2 linked regions of the Macaca mulatta genome follow. The protein of the gene in region 1 purifies or fractionates together with the protein of each later gene. This does not show direct contact. Links are inferred from orthologs where the notes say so. Each region holds a gene or a part of one and is shown on either strand. Other genes may lie near its edges.

Region 1 (4,099 bases):
AAACACCTAGAAAGATTCTGCAGTGAGACTGCTTTGCAAGTGACTTTAAGTATTCATTCTATGTTAAAAATACCATAGATAAGGTAGGCCAGGGGCTAGCAAGCTCTTTCTGTAAAGGGTCAAAAGTAAACATTTTAGGTGTTGAAGGCCATGTGGTTTCTGTCTCAACCACTAATACTCAATTCTGCCTTGTAGGCTGAGAGTAGTCATAGACAATACATAAACAAATGAGCAAGGCTGTGTTCTAATAAAGCTTTACTTATAAAAACAGGCAACAGGGTCCTACATTCCAAGAAAAGGCTGAGGCCTTATGTTAAAAGAATGGCAAAAGAATGTTTATGTCCTCGTTAAAATGTTATGTATGTAACTATTATCTGTGTGATTCCCTGCTTTAACGTACTTCTTCAGTTAGCCAACTAATGGCCCTAAAAGTCTGCTTTCAGTAACTGAGTGAATGTTATAGATGCCCTAGAAGCTGCATTTAATTCATATTCCTGTCATTATACCTGATATAACTTGGTTATAACTTTAAACTACTAATTTTAAAATGCATGCATCAGTACAGATTAGTATGGGCATACTCGTATATAAAGACTGTCATCTCTGTTGCAAAATTGCTGATAATTTGAAAAGTATTAAAATTGCTGCTTCCCTGAGGGAGGAAGGAGGGTGGAGGGTGGAGGAAAAAAATTGCTGCTTCCTGGCCAATCTTCAGAGGGTTGACAATACATTTCATGAATATTCTAAAAGTTGTATACTTAAGCAAAACAAATAAACAAAAATGCTTACTTTAAACTTGAGATCAAGGTTGTGCCTTACTTGCTTTTGTATCCCCAAGAATTACTCAGTAGAAGTCCAGGTCTAATCCACTTGTTTTACGGTGTTTAGGGAGCCTGGACCAAACTCAGAGTTGAGTTAGAAGGGCTGGGACAGGAATTCAGATTTCCTGATTCCTAGTCCAATATTACCAATCTGAAGATACACGAATTTAGGAAGACAGTGGCTTTCTTTTCTTTTTTTTTAGGTGCACCCAGTCCTGCAGTTCAAAGCCTGGGAAGACTCACCATCATCTTCCTCCTCCTCATACTGCTAATAAGAATCAGCAGCTGTGTTTCTACAGTGATAATCTGGGTATGCACGTTCGTGATGTTCCAATCAACAAAAAGGCTATTGATTTTAGGATTCCTGAGTACCTAAAAAGCTACTTAAACATCCAGGATAAAAACACCTCCACCCAAGAATACAAGATCAGAGTTCAAATATTCCCTTGGCCATTTTTTTTTTTTAAAAGAAAAGGCTGGAAGGACATTTCATAAACAACTAGAAAGATTCTGCAGTGAGACTGCTTTGAAAGTGACTTTAAGTATTCACTCTATGTTAAAAATAGCATAGATAATGTAGGCCAGGGGCTAGCAAGCTCTTTCTGTTAAACATTTAGATGTTTCAGGGCTGCAATCACAGTGACCAGTATTGGGGAGAGTGATTAAAAAGTGCCATGGTACTTAATCCAGTTATTCCCCCAACACCTCTAAGAGGTAGCCAAGTTCACACACTAAACAGAGCTACTGCAACAGTTCTAATGCTAGTCCTTAGATTCTAGTTCCATTTCCGGTTCTAGTGCTTAGATTCCAGTTGCATCATTCCAACTGTGAGGCTTCGCTGCTTTAACATCTTTGCCAGGAGGTGCAAAGTTCTCTGGGAGGGAGAACTTCGCTTCAATTTCATACTGACAGATTGAAACATTCAGGTAAGGGACACCTGTAGTACCAACCTGACTGTGAGGGGAAGCCCAAGAACTCCATTGAGTCTGTGGACGCTACACTGGGACACTATCTCCTGAGCCACACCTTACCTAAGCCAGGACTACCCCAGGATTGTTTCGAGAATGAAACCAGGTTAACCAAAAAAATACTTAGGTAAGATACAGATAGGGTGGAAACTGGAGTCAGAGGAGTCCGTCACAATTGATGTTGATTTAGGACTGTCGCAGGAAGACCCAGGGAAACCCACGCCAAGGTTGGGCTGGGGATGTGTCTGCCTCCAAAGTATCCTCCTTTCCATCACCCACCGCCAGAATATCCTAGTTCTTCTGCACCTCACCTGCGTAGAATACAGGTGGACTCTAGAAAGGGAATTTTCCTCGAGGTGTATGCTACAGTCTTTCAATAGCCATTCTGTAAGGGCACACAGTGCTTAAGGGCTGGTAACGTTCTTGTTCACGCACTAGCTCACTATGTCCTGAATCAAAGGACGAGGAATCCAGTCTCAGTCTGCCCTTTACTCTTTGTGACCTCGGACTAGTCACCCGGGTGCTTAGTTCCTTCGTCTCCCTATCTGTAAATTCTGAGATTACGAGGAGGCCGGGATCGAAATCGATGGCCTCTGAGCTCTAAAAGCTTCTGGACCAGCCGGCACATGGAAGCACTGGACAAATGGCCGGTTGCACACACGGGGAAACTGAGGCACCGAGCACCGCGGCCCAAGGTCACTCTGGCTAAGCCACTGCAGGGACCGGGTCGAAGCCCAAGTCTTTAACCCTCCAGTCCCGCGCTCTTTCTCCTTCCGCGGAGCTGAGGAGAGCGGCCAGAAGGGTCCTTGTCCCGCTGGGGAAAGCACGGTACCCATGCACAGGGGTGCTAGAGAGGGACCGGGAGAAGCCTTACCTTCCCAGGTCGAGTCCAGCCACTGGCGCCTCTCTCTCCCAATCTTAACCCGTCACCCCCTCACGACTCCTCGAACGGCCCGTCCACTTCTACCCGGCTCGACGTGTCCACGACAGCCTCCGAGGCCGAGGATTTCCCGCCCCCTCCCGCCCCCTAGCATTACCGACCAATCCCTGCACGAGACTGTGAAGCTCCGACCCCCTGCGGGCTGGAGAGGCCTGACGTCTGGCGGCGCGAGCCTCTCATTTGCCTTTGCCCCACCTTCTCCAGAGCCTAGACTACTTTCAGCCCAGAGACCGTGAGGGAGTTCACCCTGCCGGAAAGCAGCACGCCGCCGCGGCATTTTACGACGTCGGCGGTGACAAGCCCTGGGACTCTGGAAATACCCAGCTTCCTCCCCGCAGCCTGGTGAAAGCCAACGCAATGTTCGGTGCGGGGGACGAGGACGACACCGATTTCCTATCGCCCAGCGGCGGGTGAGTGACTGAGAAGTATGCGCTGGAGGGCGTGGCTGAGAGATACCGGCGGATTTTTGGAGGGGGGTCGATCTCTTCTCAGGCCTTTTCCCAACTTCCGGGGGGAGACTCTTGACACATTCCGGTGCTCTACACCTCTCAGAATCTGGGCAGAGCTTCCAACTGTGCTGACTCTGCCAATCTGAGGTTCGGGACCCGGCATCTCTCTTGGCGCGAAGATAACCCTGGGGTTTGCCTTTTGCATTCTGGGTCACAATTTCTCCTGTGAAATGGGAATGATTGCTGATGAAACTTCCTGCCTCAGAATTTTTGTAGGAGTCACCTGGGGCTGATAAGAGACTTTCTCTTCTCCGTGGAGAAGGCGATGACACTTTAGAACCGGGCCCTGGTGGGTCAGCTCTAGCATTCTTCAAGGCCCAGCTCGGATGTCACGTTTTGGATGCTTTTCCTTCTCCTGCAGCCTCAGGCAGAATGAATTGCTTTCTCTTCCTTATTCCTACAGTTAGGTGTGTTTGCCTCTGTTCTTGTACCCCAAACCTATTAGATTATGAGTCCTCACAGGACAGGGACTGCTTATGTTGTTCATTTCTGTCTAGCACTCAGCATGGTACCTAGCACATAGTGAGTGCTCAGGAAGTGGCTGTTGAATGAATAATAGCTGCGAAACTGCACTTTGTAAAGTTTAAAGCTTAAAACCAACGTAACAGACTTCCGTCATTCTCCAGTTTCTTCAAGCGTTATATTAATATATACCAGCCTGGGATAGAAATCTTTAAAGAGAGGCAGGGTTTTGTCTCTTTCAGTGGTCAGTTTAGCCTTTTCCATTGTGTTGTGCCGGTGGACAGCTTGACTTCCTCCAAACTTGTGAGCTACCAAGCTCTGATCATTGCAGAGCTTATCTTTGAACATATGCTTAACAAATTTTGTGCGTGCTGAAGAATGTACTGGAAAAATGACAAA
Region 2 (4,132 bases), on another chromosome or scaffold:
TGTGGAACGTGGAACGTGGGGCTTGGCTCTTCTGTGCTTCTTTATCCTTCAGATCTACCTGCCTGTCCCAGGGCTGGTGGTGTGTGTGTGTATGTGTGCATGTCACAGGTGGGGTCTAGAACTTCCTGTGCATGAATGGGACAGCCATCTGATTCCCAGATGTATTAACACCCTTATGGCTACAGATCCAAAAACCACATTCCCCAACTGGTTTTATTAGTAAAACCAATTACATTTTGATTTAAAACAAAAGCAAATGTAAATCACTAAACACAGTGCCTGGTAGAGAGTAAACACACTGTAAGTAACAGCTGGTATAACTATTTCTGGACCCTAGGATGACTATCAGGCCAAGTGCTTTCAACTTTTTTTTTTTTTTTTTTTTTTTGAGATGGGCTCTCTCTCTGTCGCCCAGGTTGCATGATCTCCACTCACTGCAACCTCCGCCTCCCAGGCTCAAGCAATCTTCCCACCTCAGCCTCCAGAGTAGCTGGGATTACAGGCATGCAGCACCAAGCCCAGCTACCTTTTTTTTTTTTTTTTTTTTTTTATAGAGACAAAAGTTTCACCATGTTGCCCAGGCTGGTGTCAAACTCCTGAGCTCAGGCGATCCACCAGCCTCGGGCTCCCAAAGTGCTGGGATTACAGGCATGAGCCACTGCGCCCAGACAAGCCCTTTCAACTTTAATCAGGGGGTTTTAACTTTCTCCCCAAAGGGTCCCTAAGGAGAGAGAGTTAATTCACTGCCAAGCTCAAAATTTATTTGAAATGTTATTGTTCTGTCTTATAATTTGGTAGGAATTTTGTATTTTCCTTCTAGAAAAACAACCATTTTTTCTTTTTTTTTGGTTTTGTTTTTGAGATAGAGTTTCACTCTTGTTGCCCAGGCTAGAGTGCAATAGTGTGATCTCAGCTCACTGCAACCTCCACCTCTCAGGTTCAAGGGATTCTCCTGCCTCAGCCTCCCAAGTAGCTGGGATTACAGGCATGCGCCACCACACCTGGCTAATTTTGTATTTTTAGTAGAGACGGGGTTTTGCCATGTTGGCCAGGCTGGTTTCGAACTCGCGACCTCAGGTGACCCACCCGCCTTGGCCTCCTAAAGTGCTGGGATTACAGGCTTGAGCCACCGCGCCCCGCCTGAAAATGAACTATTTTCCCACAGCTATTTTAGTATAGATGTGGTTCATTTATCCTGTCTTTGGCATGCCCTAGTTTGAGGAACAACTCCTAGCCCAGTGCCTCCCCAAACTCCTCATCAACTCCAACTCATTGGACAATGCAGACCTCTTGGGTGTACCAGAGCCCATACCTGGCATAGGTGGGGGTAACAACATAGATAGTAGGCAGGGCCTCAGGTTCAGGGGGCTGGGCAGGGGCAGGGGGTGGCCGTCGGAGTTCCGCTTGCAGCTGGGAAATCCTCAGATCCTTCTGCCGTAGCTGCTCCGCTGCTGCCCGCAGGGGAGGAAGGCAGTCACATGGCTGGCCTGGTCCCAGGAAGCATTAATGGGGAAAGAGGATGGGGGCAGAGAACCACAGAATGTTCAGCATCCCAAAGGGCCATAATCTTCTCATTAATTCCTAGACAATGCAGGTATCCCCTTATGACTTCCCTAGTAGCCTTTTCTACACTTCTGGTGTGGGAAACTCACTGCCTCAAGCAGCAGACCCTCTCCAACTTTAATAAATTCCATTGTTACAATTTTACGTTGGATATTGAGCTGATTCCATCTTTTCTATCTGCTGGTCCTAATTTTGCCTTCTGGACTCATAACAAGCTCATGTCCTTAAACAGGACAGTCTTTTCAGAGTCCAAGGTGCTAACTAACCATTACACTATAGAACCCCTTTAGGATAGTCTTTCAAATACCTGAGGATAACGCAGTGGCACTGTCCCTAAATCTTTGCATAAGGGGCAGGGTTCGATCCATTCCCTTGGCTGGGTGACCAAAGACTCATTGTTAAATTCATTGATTCCATTGTAGGATAAATATTTATTGAATACTCTTCCTAGGAGGCACTGCCTTAGGTGCTGAGGATACAGCAGGGAACAAAACAGACACAGTCCCTGCCCTCATCGAGCTTTCAGTTTAGCGGAGGAAGCAGACACTAAGCAAAGAAACAAATTAATAACATTATTACAAACTGTGATGGGGTCATGAAAAAAATAATCAGGATAGAGAATAAAAGGGAATGGAATAAGAATGGTATCTTTAGCTATGGTAGTCAGGGAAGGCCTCTCTGAGGAGGTGACATTTGAGCTAAGACCTGAAGGATGAGAAAGAGGCAGCCCGGAAAGAGCTGGAAGAAAAGCACCCCAAGTAGAGGGAACAAGTTAAGCGCTTGAGAGAGCAATGAGCCTGGCGTTTTCGAGAAACTGTCAGCAAGCCAGTCTGGCTGCAGCAGAGCGAGGGAGAGGGGTGGGAAATGGGGTTGGGAGAGGCGGACGGCAGCAGGATCATGCGGGGCCTTGCAGGCTCTGGGAAGGAGTCTGGATTTCATCCGAGGTGCGGCGGGCCGCCGCGGTGCGTTCTATAGAGGGGAGTGCGCCTGCGGCCGCAGAGCTGTCCGGAGGGTCGAGCGGATGAATGGTGTTTGCCGGGGGTTCATCCCCAGGGCGGGATGCACGGCGGCGGGCGCCCACGGGCCAGCCCGCCGCACCCCCGCCCCGCCCCGCTCACCGAGCTGTACCAGCGCGTAGAGGAGGCCGGCGATCGACACCAGGAAGTAGGCGAGAAACACGTTCTTCAGCTTCAGCTTCATGGCCGCGCCGCCGCCCGCGCCCGAGCAGGCGGGGTCTAGAGGGGACGAGGGGTTCCCGCCCCAACCCCCGGCGCCTGCCCACAGGCCCCGCCCCTCCACCGGCTCCGCCCTGCGTCCCGCCTTCTTCGCACTCCCCTACCAGCTCCTAGCCGGGGCTGGCAGCACCGCCCGGGCACGCTTCCGGTCATCTGTGCCCCCTTGTAGACTTGATTTCCGGTCCCACCGCCAGGCTCCGGGAACCACGGGGCGGTGACGTCACATCCGGCGTGCCAAACTCGCGTGGACGGCAGTCAAAATCCCGGGTAGGTGCAGAATCTCGGGTAGGTAGGTGCACGTGGCACCTACCTCGCGACCCGCCCCCGATCACGGAATTGCATGAGAAAGCCAGTCCTGCCGTCCAGATCTTCACCTTATTCATCCAACCATCAGTCACGCCACCCAACAGCAGTTGCTCAATACTCATTACACAAATGAATGAAATCTAAGGCCCACCACATGATCCTCTGGGTGTCTCTCCTGGAATTATCACTATAATACTTTGAGATAGATAAGAAACTAAAGTTGACAAAAATTATGTCATTGCCACAAGGCAGTTTTGTGTCCTTTCTAGACACCTGATTCCGGCATCTCTAGTGTTTCCTCTGGCCCACATTTCTTCAACAGATGACAACAAGGGTGCCAAGGAAGTGTTTTAACTACCAGGAAATTGATTGGAAATAGTTCCTGAGCTGGAGAATTCCAGGAATGCATCCCCTTCCTCCTCACAAGCACAAGCCATCCTTCTCATTTTTCCTTTAAAAAAAAAAAAAAAAAGGGCCTGGCACAGTGGCTCATGACTGTAATCCTAGCACTTTAGAAGCCCAGGAGTTTCAGATCAAACTCGGCAACAAGGCAAAACCCCGTCTCTACAAAAAAACACAAAAATTAGCCGGGTGTAGTGGCGCGGGCCTACAGTCCCAGCTACTTGGGAGGCTGATGTGGGCGGCTGAGGCTGTGGTGAGCCGTGATCATGCCACTGCACTCCAGCCTGGGTGACTGGGTGAGACCCCGTCTCAAAAAAAGCCCTCCAACCCCCACCAAAAAGAGTTTCTGGTAAAATAATCTCTGACTTGTGGTCAGTCTACAAAATGAGGGGGAGACGGGGAACAGTATACTTCCTGTCACTAAAACAATGGGAAACTTTACAAAATGCTGTTAGCTACAAGCAGAAGCCTTTAGGTTGGGCATGGTGGCTGATGCCTGTAATCCCAGCACTTTAGGAGCCTGGGAGGTCAAGGCTGCAATGAGCCGGGATCATGTCACAGCACTCCCAGCACTCCAGCCTCAGCAGTAGAACGAGACCCTGTCTCAACCCCCCACACCCCCCAAA

What was found. Proteins that work in one complex are often made in the same cells at the same time.
Region 2: the proteins of SLC31A1 (region 1) and B3GAT3 purify together in Homo sapiens (co-immunoprecipitation; 3 studies listed by BioGRID and IntAct, with this or other methods). This does not show direct contact. The link is inferred for Macaca mulatta from reciprocal best matches to the Homo sapiens genes SLC31A1 and B3GAT3.

Annotation. Positions count from the first base shown.
Region 1 is NC_133420.1:45,087,298-45,091,396, forward strand, and holds the start of SLC31A1 (high affinity copper uptake protein 1), read right to left. Parts: upstream 2,801-4,099; 5' UTR 2,664-2,800; intron 1-2,663. Other genes in the region: FKBP15 (FK506-binding protein 15), read left to right, coding at 3,087-3,139.
Region 2 is NC_133419.1:11,443,649-11,447,780, reverse strand, and holds the start of B3GAT3 (galactosylgalactosylxylosylprotein 3-beta-glucuronosyltransferase 3), read right to left. Parts: upstream 2,801-4,132; 5' UTR 2,764-2,800; coding exon 2,682-2,763; intron 2,110-2,681; exon of another isoform or gene 1,940-2,109; coding exon of another isoform or gene 1,871-1,939; intron 1,488-1,870; coding exon 1,313-1,487; intron 1-1,312. UniProt on the Homo sapiens protein: Glycosaminoglycans biosynthesis. Involved in forming the linkage tetrasaccharide present in heparan sulfate and chondroitin sulfate.